3 linked regions of the Drosophila melanogaster genome follow. The protein of the gene in region 1 interacts with the protein of each later gene in a pairwise test. Each region holds a gene or a part of one and is shown in the gene's direction. Other genes may lie near its edges.

Region 1 (8,598 bases):
TTTAAAAATAAGGCGCATTACGCATGTGCATGTGCATTAAAAAAGTTATTATACAAATAGAATAAACACATTAAATTAAATAAGATTCCTGTTGTCATTACTAGCAAGCAGTGTTGGAAAACACCGTGCTGCCCTCACTAATTTCTACACCCGTCTCGTGTATTTTTGTGCCTGATTTACTGACTGAAAATGCACCTGCTGCGGAGCCTGCGCCAGCTGAATGGCCTCCAAGGAGTGCGCCAAGCTATCCGGCAGGTGTCCTCGGCGCCCACCAAGCCCGCCGCCCTGCAGTACGAGCGCGATCCGCAGCCGCTTTTCACGGATGCCGAAACCCAGCGGCTGCTCCAGTCCATGACGCAACTGAACTTGGACAAGGTGTATCGGAAGCGCACGGTGCCGGACAACAGCAGCGAAACGAAGTTCATGAGCAACGAGCAGCTGGACAACGAGTTCCAGAACTTGGTGGTGCGGGCTCAGCAAATTCTGCAAATGCCACCCATTGTGCAGATCAAAAAAGATGTGGAGCGGGTGATAGCCAAGGATACGGCGCTGAAGGACTTCGCCAACTCCAAGTTCGTATTCACGGACATCACCTTCGGCCGACGGCAGTCGGAACGCAAGGTAATCGTCCGGGATATGGACGGAACCTTGGCCTACGCCACTCTTGATACCACGAAGCGCATGAACCAGTTGTATTTCCCGCTGGAGGGTCGCCAGTCATATACTCCACGAATGTTCGCGCTGGAGGAGCTGCTGGCCAAGTGCTTGGCGGAGCACAAGTACGAGTTCATCCTGGATCGACTCTTGGTGCAGTACGAGCCACATGAGCCGGAGTTCCACAACATTTCAGCGCGTGTGTTCGAGCATCTCAACGAGTCCAAGGAGTTCGATCTTCTGCGCTCCACCCGCCACTTTGGACCCATGGCCTTCTTCTACGCTTGGCACCGCTGCATCGACGACCTGCTGTATGACATGATCCGTCGGGATTATCTGCACAATGCCGTGGAGCTGATTGCTCTGAGCTACAAGCTACACAACATCCCAGTGGAGTATCAGGCAACGCTGACCGAACTGGGCAAACTGCATGCCACGCCGGCGGAAAGTGCCCTGGCGGAGCTAAGAAGCGTCTTCCGACGACATGACAATAAGCAGAACATTGAGCAGGAGATCCATACGGCCATTGGCAAGACGGAGCACGATTTCGCCGCCGATGAGATCAGCCTGAAGTTCATTGAGCAGTACATCGCCAGCGAACATGCGCTGAAGAAGGTGCAACTGGAGCTGGCGGTGCAGACGCTTAAGGAAGTTAACCGGGAGAAACTGATGCTGTTCCAGGGACTGAAAAAGGCTCACGGCGTCCAGGCTTCGTAGGATCTATTCGCTTTATTGTTATCGATTTCTATGTACTAATAAATACCAGCTAGGTCAAGATTTCTATACGCTGTTCATAGCTCCTTCTTGAGGACCCTGGACAGCCGTCTAAAATGGCCAAGGATGCACTGTCTCCGGTGCCGCAGGCATACCCGCTCGCTGCTGAAACGCTTCAAGCAAACTGAGCAACGTCTGGGATCACCTCTTCCATTGGGCAACCCGTTGTGTTCGCGAAATAGGACGACCACTTTCGCCTTGGCACAACTCTGTTCTTTTTTTCGGTGTACCAAAAGAGAGGTGGTGGTCTTGAAGTAACGTTTGCACTGAAGACATCTGTAGCACTTCCTGCCGCTATGGTTTCTCAGGTGCCTGAGCAACTGCATCTCTGAGTGGCTCATGGCGTTGCAGAGTAGATGTGGGCATTTAAAGAGCATCGATGACTTCCTGGGCGCTAGAGCGGGACAGCTCAGACTGTGTTGCTTCAATTGTTTCTGGTGGTCCAGACGCTGACCACAGCGAAAGCACAGAGCACCAGGTCCATAGTGCGCGGTCATGTGGCTCTGGTGCTCCAGCAAGGTTTTGGCCACATCGCCGCACACCGCGCACTCCATCATGCCGTTGGGAAATATGAATGTGTTCTCGCTCACGTAGGTGAGAAATTTGTCGGAATTGGAGGCCTCAGAACCGGTATCCTTTGGCCGTTCCTCTGGTAAATACCACTCCTCCGAATCGCGACGGCATTGAATGCCCGCATCCTTAGTGCCCGCATTCTCTGTTTGAATGGCGCGCTCTCTGCGCGGCACCATAGCCTCGTTCGCAAACATTCCAGTGACCTCGTTGAGTCTCTTCTGCTGTACGGATTTCTTGGGAGACTCTGTAGCGCCTCCATTGGTGATCGGGGCATGCAGTTCTTTCACTGGAATGCCATTCTCTATCGCGTACTTGCGTGTCACCCACTTGGTCTCCACGCACACGTATTCCGGCAGCTCGAAGACGGGCAAAGGGATAGACTTCATCTGAACAGGGCTGTGGCGTGGTGGTTTTCCGGCGGATATCGGTTGACCGGCCAACGCCACCTTTGCCGGTTGCGCCGGGTACATTTCGTTGGTTCGGGGTTCTCAAATGGCACTAAATCGATACGTATCCGAAAAATGAATTCACATTTTACTTGGAACTTATTTTATTTTTGTTATTAATTACGCTTGCTTTTTATAAAAAGACGCGAATTTTACTGGCGCAAAAAATTCAATGTTGCTATTGGTGCTGGCGGGCTAGCTTTTTTCCCGCCATATCCGACTTCTTTTGACTATTATGACAGTTGGAATATTAAAAAATTAAAATAAAATATAAATCTAACAGTTCTTTTTTCATGGCAATCAATACGAAGTGCTGAATAACTGCATGTTCTCTGATTATACTGTGTTTATAAACTAAAATTTCTACCAAATTTGTTTAGCAACAAGTTCTCTTAACAGTGCCATTTTAAATAATTAGGGGTATTCTTATGAGAAGTATGACATTTTCTAATGAATTCAAAATTGTATTAAGCAAACATAAATTTGTTATATATTTTATATTTCATTCAATGCCTATTATAATAGTTTAATTAAACTGATTGTAAATCTGGTGGAAAAATCAAATAAAAATTGTAGTTATTTTTCGTTTGTTTTGATGTATTAAATCAATCATTATTATATTGTACAATTATTCGGGCAGAAACTGCCCTAAGCACTACTTTTTACTCTTATCCTTGTCCTTGATGGTGTACTTGTCGTAGGACTTGGTGGGATCGTAGGGCTCCCATCGGCTGGCTGGGAAGATGTGCTTGTTGCGCTCGTACCAGGAGCGGAGGAGTACCTTTCCGGCATGGGACTCCTCCTTCTCCACGGAGGCGTCGCTTATCATGCGCACATCGTCGTGGACGTCGAACTGGAAGAGCGGGCCGGATTTGCCGCGTGCCTTGGTCACGATAAAGTCGTAGAAGGAATAGTGGTGCGGCAGGATCAGATCCTCCTTGACGTACATCAGCTGGTCGGCCATTACGGTCTTCAGTTCGATGAACTCCTTGCGCAGCAGCTCCAGGCACTTCTGCAGAAACTGGTAGATGGAGTTGCCCTTCTTCATCAGCACGTTCCGCCGATGGCCGGAGCCATCCCAGTAGCTGAACGTGATGGAGATGTCCTCGTCCTTCAGCTCCGCCTGCTGCATTACCCATTCTTGACGCAGCTGCTCGCGCAGTCTGTTCTCCTGCTCCTCGCGCTCGCGATCTGGCAGAAAGGAAGTGTCCACGTCAGGATTCTTGCATATCTTCTTCTTCTTTATGGGCAAAATGTCTTCCTTGATCTCCGTCCACTTGGGCTTGGGCTGATCCTCCTGCTTAATCTTCAGCTGTTTCTTATCGTGATCCTCGTCGTCCTCCTCCTCCTCCTCCTCGTCGTCGTCCAGGTTGAAGGACAGCGCCTGGATCTGCCGCTTCTGCTTGTTCTTCTCCGCCTGAATGGCCTCCAGGGCGCGCTGCTTCTCCCGATCCTTTTCGTCCTTCTTCTGGGCGAGCTTCTTCTCCCGTTCCCGCACTATATCCTCCTGCTTGGCCTTCATCTCGTCGAGGGTGACCAGACCAATGGTCGAGGACTTGAGCTGCTGCTCCACGGCATCGTAGTGGGTGGCAAACTTGTTCTCAATCTTGTCCAGCTTGAGCTCCTCCTCGATCTTCTTCTTGCGAAACTCGATCTCCTGCTGCTGGATCTCCCGCTTCTTCATCAGCTGGGCTGCACGGCCCGCCTCGCTGGCGGCACCTTTGTAGTGGGCCATCCTTAGTTGTTTCTGTATTTATTTATATTTTTTTTTATTTAATTCGTAAACGAAATTTGTAAACATCCAATTGGTGTGACCGTAGCAGAAACATTGAAAAATGCCATTCTTCGTATAAAAAATTTACAGCACAAAACACTACCTTACCAATTTGAAATAATAAAATATTTAATCTTGAAATTATTTAAAATTTACTAGCTGTCCATTCCCCTGATATAAGAGCAAAAAGAAGAGGATCACTATTTCTCTGCAACGATTTTGAAAAATAAAGATAAATCTTAGATTTTTAGCTGTTTTTTTTAATATCCTTTATATTTAGTTACAGTCGTAAGTTTTTCTTTAACTTGCTTCATGCTTTCGCTCAGTGTACTAAATCTACGTTGATCCATTGGAAGATTCCTCCTGTGCCTCGGATTTGTCCTCCTCCTTGCTGTCACCATCGGCATCTGTTCCATCATCGCCAGGTTGGCTTGGATCTGGATTGCTGGAGCTACTGCCGTTGCTCTCGGCCAAATCGTTCTGGTCGAAACCATTCGTGTATTCCGGCGTTGGAGCCGTGTCATTGGCGCTGGGCGGCGGGGTAATCTTCCGCAGCTGCTGACGGGCGGCATGGACGATCTTTTCCAGCTCGACGCACTCCGTCTCGATCTCGTAGTTCTTGGAGACCAGCAGCACCCAATGGGCTTCCAGGGAGCGCAGTCGCTCGCCGGCCTGCGTTTGCGCCTGCTTGCGCTGCCAGTTGACATCTTGAATGTCCTTCTTCAGCTGCTGCAGCTGGAGCTGCGCCTTCGCCTGCATGGCGGTGAAGACCTCCAGGTAGGACTTCCATGCCTCCGTGCCGTAGTCGAGCATTAGCTCCAGGTTGAGAGAGCGCACCCACTGGTGCTCCAGCTGGGCCATCGAGTTCTCAATGGCCTCCTGCCAGGCGGACACCTCCGACAATTTGCCCGATGGCGGCGGTGGCAGTTCGTAGCGCTTCATGGAGAGCGTCTCCATGGGCAGGCGGTTCTGGATGCGCTCGAACTCGTTGGCCATCAGCGGAGTCTCAAAGGGCGAGCTGGCGGGCAGTGGCAGATGGTCAAGGTAATTTTTTGTGGGCCTATAGCGCCGGCATTCCTCCTCCACCATGGCGAGAGCCTTTGGAAGAAGAAGATGCCATTTCAAAGTCAGTTTCAACGTGCAACATGGATATCCGTATATTTACCGATTCCCGGACGCCCACATCGTCATAGCCGTGATCTATGTAGGGCAGAGCATCCACAATAACTTCGCCAGCCATTATTTATTATTAATTTCTGTGTTTTGAGACTGTTTTTTCCGCAAGTAAACAAATACAATTGCCGCTTCGCACTAGTGTGGCACATTTAGCTACTTTATAGCTATATAAACGGATAACAGAATGCTGTTAATTAATAGCCATATATCTATTTAGTAAATTTTTTTGTTTTAACATGAACATTTAAGCAAAAAATAAGCGTTGTTTTCTCACCAATAAAAGTTGTGTAAGTTAGTTTTTAACGTATGTATGTATTATGTATTGTTTGATTATTTATTATGCGGTTAAATTACAACAATTGTATTCTTGTTCTTTAAAAACGCATTGCTAATTTATAAATTTAACTAAAATACGTTATTGATAAATTCGAATTTAGATTTGTAATATTATAGTTTAATTGCGAGAATATAAACAAAAACTTCTCTTACGAGAGAAAAAAAAAGCTAAAAGTGTTGGACAGCGTCCAATTAGCCCTGTAAGCTTGACACTTGCTGCTGTTAGCAAATGCAACCATGCGCCGTGGAACGCGATTGGCAGCCATTTCCGGCAGCTCTCTTTCTTTCTTCGTTCTTCTTAATAAAAAGAGGACGGTATCTGCGTTTGCAGAATATTTAGCACCTTTCATTGGGTTTGAAAATCAACGAAAATGGTGAGAAACGAAGCACAAGGCACTCCGCAACCGCAGCAGACCCCAAAACATTGGATTTAACACACGAAACGATGCGAAAATAGTGCAAAAGTGTCGCCCTAACCTCCACGTGTTTGGAATGTGCGGCGATGGCGAAATGCGCTTGTTGTGTTTTGTGATGTGAAATGATCAGTGAACTAAACCCGAATACCATGTGCACTTTCAGAGCTTAGGCAACGCCAGGCCATTGGTCTCCGTGTACACGGAAAAGAACGAGCCAGCCAAGGACAAGAACATATGCCTGCCGGCAGTGTTCAAGGCGCCCATTCGTCCGGATGTGGTCAACGAGGTTCACCAGCTGCTCCGCCGCAACAACCGACAGGCCTACGCCGTCAGCGAGCTGGCTGGTGAGTAAACTGTTTATAACTCCTCTTTTGTGTGAATCTAACCCGTTTGAATTCCTGTTTGCAGGTCACCAGACCTCCGCCGAGTCCTGGGGTACCGGACGTGCTGTGGCCCGTATTCCCCGTGTGCGTGGTGGCGGTACCCACCGTTCCGGCCAGGGAGCCTTCGGCAACATGTGCCGTGGTGGACGCATGTTCGCCCCCACCAAGACGTTCCGTCGCTGGCACCGCAAGGTGAATGTCAACCAGCGTCGCTACGCCCTGGTGTCGGCCATCGCCGCCTCAGGAGTGCCAGCTCTGGTCCAGTCCAAGGGACATGTCATCGACGGCGTCTCCGAGTTCCCGCTGGTCGTGTCCGATGAGGTGCAAAAGGTCCAGAAGACCAAGCAGGCTGTCATCTTCCTGCGTCGCCTGAAGATCTGGGCTGACATCCAGAAGGTGGGTAACTTTGTACACCTATGAAGAACTTAATCCGAAGAATGTTAGGTCACTTAACTGTGCGTCTATTCAACTTCAACGTATTTATTTAACAAAACGTGAAGTTGTGATGTTTTAATTGCAAAGTTATAACTTTTTATTGGATTCCTACTTTTCGGATGCTTTCTAAATCTTACTTGGCAGCGTGCAAGCAACTGGCTACTCTTCTGGTTGTCCGATGCTTGCAGGGATCTCCTGCGTTGCCAGATAAAATGCTCTTCTTGGCGTTACGATTGAAACTTGATTCACGGCTTCCATCGTGGTAACGGAAGAGCAACAGCTGTTGTATTCATGTTCTCTATTTCCGAATTCCTGGAATATACATACTCACTATCAACTTGTTTCTCATTCATTTCGCAGGTGTACAAGTCGCAGCGCTTCCGTGCTGGCCGTGGTACCATGCGCGACCGTCGCCGCATCGCTCGCCGTGGTCCCCTGGTGGTCTACGACAAGGACGAGGGTCTGCGCAAGGCCTTCCGCAACATCCCCGGCATTGAGACCATCAACGTGGACAAGCTCAATCTGCTGAAGCTGGCCCCCGGCGGTCATGTCGGTCGCTTTGTCATCTGGACCGAGTCGGCTTTCGCCCGCCTGAACGATCTGTTCGGCACCTGGAAGAAGCCGTCCACCTTGAAGAAGGGCTACAACCTGCCCCAGCCCAAGATGGCCAACACCGATCTGTCGCGTCTGCTCAAGTCTGAGGAGATCCGCAAGGTGTTGCGCGATCCCCGCAAGCGTGTGTTCCGCAGCGTGCGCCGCCTGAACCCCCTGACCAACGTGCGCCAGCTGATCAAGCTTAACCCCTATGCCGAGGTCCTCAAGCGTCGTGCCGCCCTCGCCGCCGAGAAGCGCACCGTGGCCAAGGTGCTGGCCAAGGCCAAGAAGCAGAACGTCGAGCTGGCCAAGTCGCACTTCGCCAATGTGGCCACCAAGGCTGCGGCCAATCGCGCCAAGCTGCTGGCCGCCCGCAAGAAGAAGGTCGCCGCCAAGAAGCCAGCGGCCAAGAAGTAAACTTACTTTCCCCCGAGTAGAGCTGACACACTTTTATATTATAATAAACCACAAAAGTTGTATGAATTTTATTCATAATACATAGAGTGCGCGACAGTAATGCTCATTAAACTCTTAGTCTTAGGCACATCATTTAGTTGGCTCTCTTTTTGGTCGTCTTGCCTGCCGCGCTGAGCGATCCCATCCCTTATCATTCTCCCGCTCGCGCTGATAACAGCGGCATGGCATCTGCATCTGTATCTGTGGCGGCGGCTGTAGCTTTCGTTATCGTCCGTCGTGCTGCCGCCGATGGCGATGCCGATCTTGGTCTTCGTACACGTTCGCACATCCATGGGCCGCACATATACTTATTGTCACACGTTAATTGGCATTTAATTAAGCGTCGAGCGTCGTCGCCGCTCTTATTCGACTGCGAACGGTCGACTGGCGCGGTTCTGCGTATCGCGAATATACCGAATCCCTTTTGTGCGGCAAATAAAAGGCTGGGAAACAAAGGATATATATTTTTGATTCAATTAACCGATGTAATTTCGCGACGGTACCATAGCATAGTAGGTAGCAGTCGGTAAACCGGTTCCAAGCCCACTTTATTATATAGCAGCTTGCCAAAAATAAAGGTA
Region 2 (3,594 bases), on another chromosome or scaffold:
TACGTCCCCTTTTAAATTATGCTCTGTGAATGGGAATGATTAAAATAATAACAAAAAAGGAAATCAAGCGACGAAATAATATACTGAGTTGACAATACGTTTAAGAGGCCATTTTAAAATAAAAGTTTACCAGGACAGAGAGAGTAGAGTGCCTCGACTACAAGATACCTCTCACTCAGGTGATAATCGGGGTGGCAACTCACTGAAACAAACTGCGACAGCATACGCTGCGGAAGGAAAATGCACAATAAATGGAAATAGAAAAGTTTAATTGAAACTCATTCAAAAAAAAAAAAAAAACAATCAAAGCATGCTAAGGATCTCTATATCTGAAACAGATGCTCTCTACAAAATAGTTGCAGTGAAAAATGGCAAGAGAGTGGGCAAAGAAAAGCGCAGAAGGAGAAAGGCTTCATGATGAAGGATGCTTGTTGTTTGCTGCAGTTAAATTAAATGAAAAAGTTTAAAACTTTTTTAATGAAACCATTTTATTCAGTAGAGGCATAAACAAAAAAACAGTCCCCATTCCGTTGTAACAATAGCACAAAAAAGATGCAAGACAAAGGAAAACAAAAGTCTGAGCGGAAGAAAAACTTGATGCAACTTGCATGGTCTGAAAGGAATCAAAAAAAAAAAAAAAAAAAAAAGAATAAAATGTCCCAATAAAAATCAAAATATGTATGAGACTTAAAGGGGGTGGCCTATGCTTGCTTTCAACTTTGTAAATTAAATTGCCCGTTATTTGATTTAAAATGGGCGGCGCAGTCTTTTTGAGCTTAAGTGACGTATGCGTAATCTGAATGGGGAGCTAATCGAAAAGCCACCTTGATACGGACGATAAAACCCATAGGCTCTGGCTATGGGTGTTCGCTTCTAATGCAACTGTCGCTTTCAGGGACTCGCAAGCAATTGGTAATTACGCCAAAAATTAAACAGGGACGTAATCAAGAAAACATCAAGGATAAAAGCTTAAGCTTGGACCAAACAAGGTGCTTATTATTTAATTAAGTAAATTCAAATAAATTAAATTAAATAAATAAATAAATTTAAATTTGTATATCCCTATATCGACATATTCAATTTCTTTGCTAAACATTGTTCTCTACATTTTTGTCTTTCATTGCACACAACTTTGCAGGTACATTTTGCGTACATATTGTGCATTCCTATTATGCCATTCAATGCACCAGTTTGATATTAAAACAGCAACTTGTGTCGCTGGGCCAGTTATCAAATACATACCCTTTCTTTCCTGGCTTACAGGTTGTAATCTGTTAGAATTCACGTCTTAACTACCGGTAGTACGATGAAACGACCCTGCTGCGAGATAAACATTATGCCAAATTAAAATGCATTCTGTAGTTTCTATAATTAATGCGAACGCATGCCGTCGAGTGGTGCGCTTTGAAACGTAATCCACCGGATCCAGCCACAAGAAATCACTGAGTCAATAAAAGCGTGAAATAAGAGAGATGAGATTGTAGAAGGAATGAAGTTAACGGCGCAACAGCTATCATGATGGCAGAAGAACAATAAATCGTATATGAAAAGATCTAATAACGAGGGAAACGGAAACGGAAGTTATTGAAGTGCTAAAAAAAATGGCGAACTGAAATAATAAAAGTAGTTGTTGTGTGCAGTAAACTGAGATTTTACTGGCTCTAAGGTGTGGAGTTTTATGTTTACGTTTGTCGATCACATGATAAATCTACTACAACAATTTGTATTTGATTTATATATCAAAATTTGGTTTATTAAAGTATTTCATAATTATGTAAACTAATACCCCTGCATCGCTTAATACAATTTATCCCTAACATCCGAAGCAATGTCTGATGTGGAGCAAGAAGCCTCTGGAGACGTTGATAATGAGCAAAATGAAGGACAAGAAGCTGCTGAAGATTTTGAGGGAGAGGGCGAAGGAGACGAACAGGACGTTGAAGAGGAAGATAAGTTCGAGGTGGAGGAGAAGGATCCCTTTGAGCTCCTCAATGAGAGCGATGAAGACGATGAAGAGCAACAGGCAATGTACAAGGAGTATCAGGAGGTGGTCAACGCTATTGATGCGCAGAACAGGATTATAAAAGAGCTCAAGGCAAAGTCCAATCGACTGATGTTCAAGAAGTGCAAGACTTATAGAGACAAGCAGGAATACAAACAACTTAGGGTCTGTCAGGAGCATGAGGAGATCCATTTAAAGGTTCTCGTGAATAGAGCCATGCACCTCCAAAACTTCGGTTCACCTAGGCGCTACAGAGATATAGAAATGGAAGTCACAGAGGACGAGAAGAGCTACTTTTATACTGAACTACAATCGACCTTATCAGGCTTTTGTCCCACGGATTCGGCTGACGAATATGAGTCGGATTCTGAATCGGATAATGGACTATGTTGTACCTAGTTTCCTAGCGGAGTTTCCGAAAATTGACGGGGAAAAGTTATGAAAATACTTGAATAATTGTGGAATATCTTCATATTTTACATATATACATATCTACACATATCAACGACACTGCACTCAATAAAATGGGAAAGGATGGAGGGAATGTGAATAAAAAATGCAAGAAAATTTCAATAAAATGCAAGTAAATGCAAAATTTAATTTAATCCCTCGATTTCTAAAATATCTGCCTAGCACTTCTTTTAGCTGGGTTTAATAGTCAAGAGTCCAGACGTGGAGTAGCCAAATAGCGGGAAAGTGTAGAGCAATAGCAATAAGCGCAAAAACAAGACGATTGTGCCCCCAGACAGAATAAGGGGATCAAAGCAAAACAGCCATAAACAAATAACCGAAGAGGCACAGAAAGACGCCAGTAGACGAGAATGAATCGAAACGAACTGAATTGAACCAAAACTTCTCTCGATGATTTCTTCGTTCCCTCCTCCTTCTTTTATTATGCCTCAATTCTCACTCTCCGCCAAGTGCCACGCCCATTGTGGCGCTTGATGGGGAACACTTCGCAAAAACGAGATAGTTTGACGTTTTCTACACAACTGGTCACTGTTTAAATTTTATTTACATTTAGAAAGATTTGGAGAAAAGTGAAATGTAAATTATTTCGATTAAAAGATAATTTATGTGGACTTGCAACTTAGAAATTTATGGTTTAACCCTAAGGTGGAAAATTCAAAAGCGCGATTTTAGAAGGGGAATGTTGTCGGCGCCAAATTCGCCAACCCAATGTGCAGAAGCAGCGGCTTCGACCGCGTTGCGACGTCACCTTGCGTCCATTCACCCCGTTCATCATTGTTTATGAGTGTGTGCCCAGACACAAAAACAAGCACACATTAACGTATACAGCAAAATTCCTTTAACTGTGCTTCGATTCCATTCCATTTTCCATCTGGTTCTGTTTCTGTTTTTTGGACCTCTGCCTTGGGTCTTCTGTTCATGTCTCTTCGCCCCCCCCCCCCCCCCCCACCCAATTCTCCAACCCTACTGCGTTCTCCCGCTTGTTGTTATTGCACTGTCTGCGGCTTGGGTATTTTTTACGCGCCTGTGCTCCATTCCACGTTCCCAGTCTCCCCGTCTCGTTCCAACAACCTTGGTATATATCTTCGCCGCCCAAAAAAAGTGTGCGAAAAATACTCTAG
Region 3 (4,133 bases), 1.1 Mb from region 1:
GGAAACTGTCACGGCGTTGCCAGAGTGCTGTTGCTTTGTTTATACAGTACGTACTTGTTGAGCGAACAGTACAACCCGATAATAAACAAAGATTGACATTTTAAATGTTATAAATTAAAAACTTTGATTATGTCTCTCATGTATTAACCATACATACATATGGCTACAACCTTCTTCAGTTCAATTACCTTCTCTTTAATGAGTCAACATTTATAACTATGCATCCTTATCAATAGAAGTCTCAACAATCTAGTATAAGTAAACACAACTTTTTATCAAATTATTGTTTAATTAATAAGGGTGGGGTAGAGTCATGCCGTTTTAAAGAACCATGGATGCCCAATCGGTTGCATACTTTTTATAAAAACAACTTCTTATGCTATTTTGTATTAAAGGCATCCTAAAAATTGATTTCATAAACATTTTCTTTTTGGTTAGTAGACTTTAGTTGTTCGTAAAAACCATTTAAAAAATTAATGAATATTATGTGAGAAAATAAACCAAAAAAAAAACAATTCGAGCTGGTGAAGTTTCACTGTCTGTTGGTTTATGCGTTGCGTCCCTGGTCGTCAGCTGTTATTCGCCAACCGGCCGCGAAGATTGCGTCCGAAATTAGGATGCGGAGTTTCCAAAGATCGCACTGAGTCAACTTTTCCTGCCAACAATGTTCGTGCGGCTCTGGGTCCGCAGCTTCCATAAATATGATCTTCTCATCGCCATCGGACTGATCACTCTCATCGTGTACCTGTGTCTGCCCTTCCGGTTCGCATCGCACTACGACTACATCGAGGAATCAAAGATCGAGGGGGCTCTGGTGCCGCAGGTGACCAGAAATGTCTCCCAGCAGGAAGTTTTCGAATGCACCTACTCGGAGATCATTGCCGAAAACCGGTTCGTCTACCACCTGGCCCATTACCATGACGCGGTGCAGAGGGGCGCGGAGATCCGTCCTGGCGGCGAGTTCCGTCCGGAAGGATGTCAGGCTCGCTACAGCACCGCCATCATTGTGCCGTACAGGCAGCGGGAGGAGCAGCTGCACGCCTTCCTCACGTACATGCACAATTACCTGCCGCAGCAGCTGATCCACTATCGGATTTTCCTGGTCGAACAGTTCGATCATAAGCCGTTTAACAGGGCGATGCTCTTCAACATTGGCGCCCAGGTGGCTGCGGAGTATGGATTTCCCTGCCTCATCCTTCATGACGTGGACCTCCTGCCACTGAATTCGGGTCAAATATATGCCTGCTCCGAACGTCCACGGCACATGAGCTCTGCCCTGGATCACTGGCGATTCCGACTGCCTTACCGCGGTCTTTTCGGCGGCGTGGTGGCCATCAACACCGCCCAGTACCAGCAGATCAACGGCATGTCCAATCTGTATTACGGCTGGGGCGGAGAGGACGATGACCTCTACGAGCGCCTGCAGGCCCTGAATATCGACATTTGCCGATTCGCAATGGAGTTCAGTAAGTACACCATGCTGAAGCACAAACAGGAGCAGCCGAATGCCAATCGCGTGGCACTGCTGAGATCGGCGACTCTGCGCCAGCACGCGGATGGACTCAACTCACTGGTGTACACGGAAATGGAGCGGCGAATGCACAGTTTGTTCACGCACATCCTGGTTGATACCTGAGTGCCAGTATTTGTTATTGTATTTAGCTTGTAGGCCAATCGTTTTCGTAGTCGGTATCTCGAAGTGTTTTATACTTGGCTGCACTTCGCTTCGCAACCGATTAGTTACCGCCTTAGACAATGCGTTCCGAATCGATCGTGATATCTCACTCACTAGGCTAAGAAGCTAGACGGGAATGGAGGAGTCAAAGCTGTAATTGAAGTACAATGCAGAAGCCTCAGATTAAGCGGATATCGACATGTTAAGCACGCTCTGCCTCTGCCAATAAAAATGTATTGAATTTAATCTAATGGTTTGTTGATTAACTTTAAAAGCTCCAATCAGCAGGGTACATATATATCGACCAATTCGAAATCAAACTAATCATTATGACAATACCTTGACAATTGAACTTTGTTACCGCAGTCAATAATAATGGGTTTTCTTGCTGCATTGCTTAAAACCAGCCTGTTTTTGGTCCTATTCCTGGGGTCCTTGTTTCTGCTACCTGTCTTATATCCTAGCACCACTTTCCCCTTCGAACAGTATTTGTAAGTTGTTTTTCTTCAGTTGCTATCAAGCCATATAATCTATATACGTGCGTTTCCCAGTATAAAGCCAGCTAGAGATCTGAATGGAACGCTGGAGCTGAACAATCACTTAAATGGCGCCCGGAAGTTGTGGAAAGATCAAATATTTGGACCCGAGTGCCTCATAGTACTCGAGGACAAGATTTACACAGGAATTCACAGCGGCGAGGTTATTCGACTAAACAATGAGGAGTCGGTTCAACCTATCACAAAAATAGGGCAACCTTGTGGTAACAAAGGAGTAGGGGCAACTTGTATCCATAATGCCCTTGATATTCACCGTAGATTATATATTTGACGATGAGTTGTGCGGCTATCCAGTGGGTTTAGCCCTGGACACCCAGGGAAACAATCTTATTGTATCCGATGCATACTACGGCATATGGCAAGTCGACTTGGAAACGAAGAAGAAGACTGTGCTGGTGCCGGCGGAGCAGATCCTTCCTGGCAAGGGTGCAAACCGTCGGGCTAAGCTGTTCAATTCGCTGGTAATTAGCCGCCAGGGTGACATATTCTGGACGGATTCCTTTTCAGAGGACTTTGTCTTTGCTGCGTTCGCCAACCCGTCGGGTCGGTGAGTTCGAACTAAGGAGAGATCTACCATATAAGAAGGGTTTATTGGCTTTCCTCAGACTTTTCAGGTACGATCGCGTAAAGAAGACAAACGAGGTACTGCTCGATGAGTTGTCCTTTGCCAACGGCTTGGCCTTAAGTCCCAGTGAGGATTTCATTATCCTTGCCGAAACAACGGCCATGCGGCTGAGGAGATATTATCTCAAAGGATCAAGAGCCGGTGAAAGCGAAGTGTTTGTGGAGGGTTTGCCCGGCTGCCCGGATAACCTCACTGCGGATGAAGAGGGAATCTGGGTGCCCCTGTCTGTGGCTTCAGATAGTCAGAATCCCAATTTGTTCGCCGTGTTGGCGCCCTATCCGAGGCTTAGATCTTTTTTGGCTCGTTTGGTGGCTCTAATGCGACTTCCCCTTCGAGTTCTGAACCATATATATCCAAATGACATTGCGGCTCGTCTTTTTCACTCCTTTAACGATTTGGTCATCAGGAACGCTCCCAAGCGTAGCACTGTGGTGCGTGTGGATTGGAATGGAAACATTGTGAGATCCCTGCATGGGTTTGACAGATCAGCTTCGGGCATATCCCACGTGCTGGAAGTTAAGGGTCACTTATATCTGGGATCGCCTTTCAATCACTATGTTGCCAAAGTAAAATTGCCCGAAGAGGGATTGAAGTCCGTAAAAGGAAATTAAAGGGATTAGTAAAGTCAGTACTATGGATTCAATGTGATATTTACCATTATAATTTATTATTATTTGAATGCCACCTTATTTAAAGAACCTGTCAAGCATTGTTTTTAATTAGTTTATTGCACCATGAAACTATCAAATCACATTAATATTTTGTATTTTATTAATAAAATTAAAACTCAAGGAACAAACCTTTATTTTGAATAAACAAAAATACATGACGTTAAAATAAAAGATAAATAAAACTATATATGTCTGTACAATTTCGTGTCTTAGTAATTGGATTTGCGTAGAATTACAATAAGAACTCATGCGTGAAAGTGAATTAAATATGCTTTGTAAAAAATACGTCAGAACATAGTTAGTTGGCTATTTTGTCTAGCTAATGTACTATTATATTTAACTACATGCGGTCGTTTCGTTTCACATTTGATATCGATTGCGGAATGTGGCAACGAGCAAGGGCTCAAAAGCCTTGCGTTTAAGTCTACATAATATAATTTAAAACATTACTAACAAACACGCACACATTAAGACTGACACACTCATACACTTGCACAGATTAGATTTTATGTATAAATATATGTGTCAGCGTCCAATGTATCAACACAAGTTCTAATCGAAAAAGGTAATCGAGTGATATTGCCAGCAAAAATGGTAATACCAAT

What was found. The genes of interacting proteins can lie anywhere in the genome.
Region 2: the proteins of RpL4 (region 1) and CG13405 interact in a two-hybrid assay, tested with the Drosophila melanogaster proteins (one large-scale study listed by BioGRID).
Region 3: the proteins of RpL4 (region 1) and Ssl2 interact in a two-hybrid assay, tested with the Drosophila melanogaster proteins (one large-scale study listed by BioGRID).

The regions. Positions count from the first base shown.
Region 1 is NT_033777.3:27,916,813-27,925,410, forward strand, and holds RpL4 (ribosomal protein L4), read left to right. Parts: upstream 1-6,008; 5' UTR 6,009-6,104; coding exon 6,105-6,107; intron 6,108-6,312; coding exon 6,313-6,493; intron 6,494-6,557; coding exon 6,558-6,928; intron 6,929-7,102; exon of another isoform or gene 7,103-7,249; intron 7,250-7,327; coding exon 7,328-7,978; 3' UTR 7,979-8,076; downstream 8,077-8,598. Other genes in the region: mRpS22 (mitochondrial ribosomal protein S22), read left to right, coding at 190-1,371; Boh1 (buddy of Hmr 1), read right to left, coding at 1,446-2,471; CG12259 (uncharacterized protein), read right to left, coding at 3,103-4,182; BCAS2, read right to left, coding at 4,558-5,319, 5,387-5,461.
Region 2 is NT_037436.4:73,445-77,038, reverse strand, and holds CG13405 (uncharacterized protein), read left to right. Parts: upstream 1-1,706; 5' UTR 1,707-1,828; coding exon 1,829-2,401; 3' UTR 2,402-2,585; intron 2,586-2,647; 3' UTR 2,648-3,094; downstream 3,095-3,594.
Region 3 is NT_033777.3:29,030,451-29,034,583, reverse strand, and holds Ssl2 (strictosidine synthase-like 2), read left to right. Parts: upstream 1-1,941; 5' UTR 1,942-2,050; coding exon 2,051-2,166; exon of another isoform or gene 2,167-2,226; coding exon 2,227-2,435; exon of another isoform or gene 2,436-2,490; coding exon 2,491-2,779; exon of another isoform or gene 2,780-2,837; coding exon 2,838-3,468; 3' UTR 3,469-3,633; downstream 3,634-4,133. Other genes in the region: beta4GalNAcTB (beta1,4-N-acetylgalactosaminyltransferase B), read left to right, coding at 665-1,636.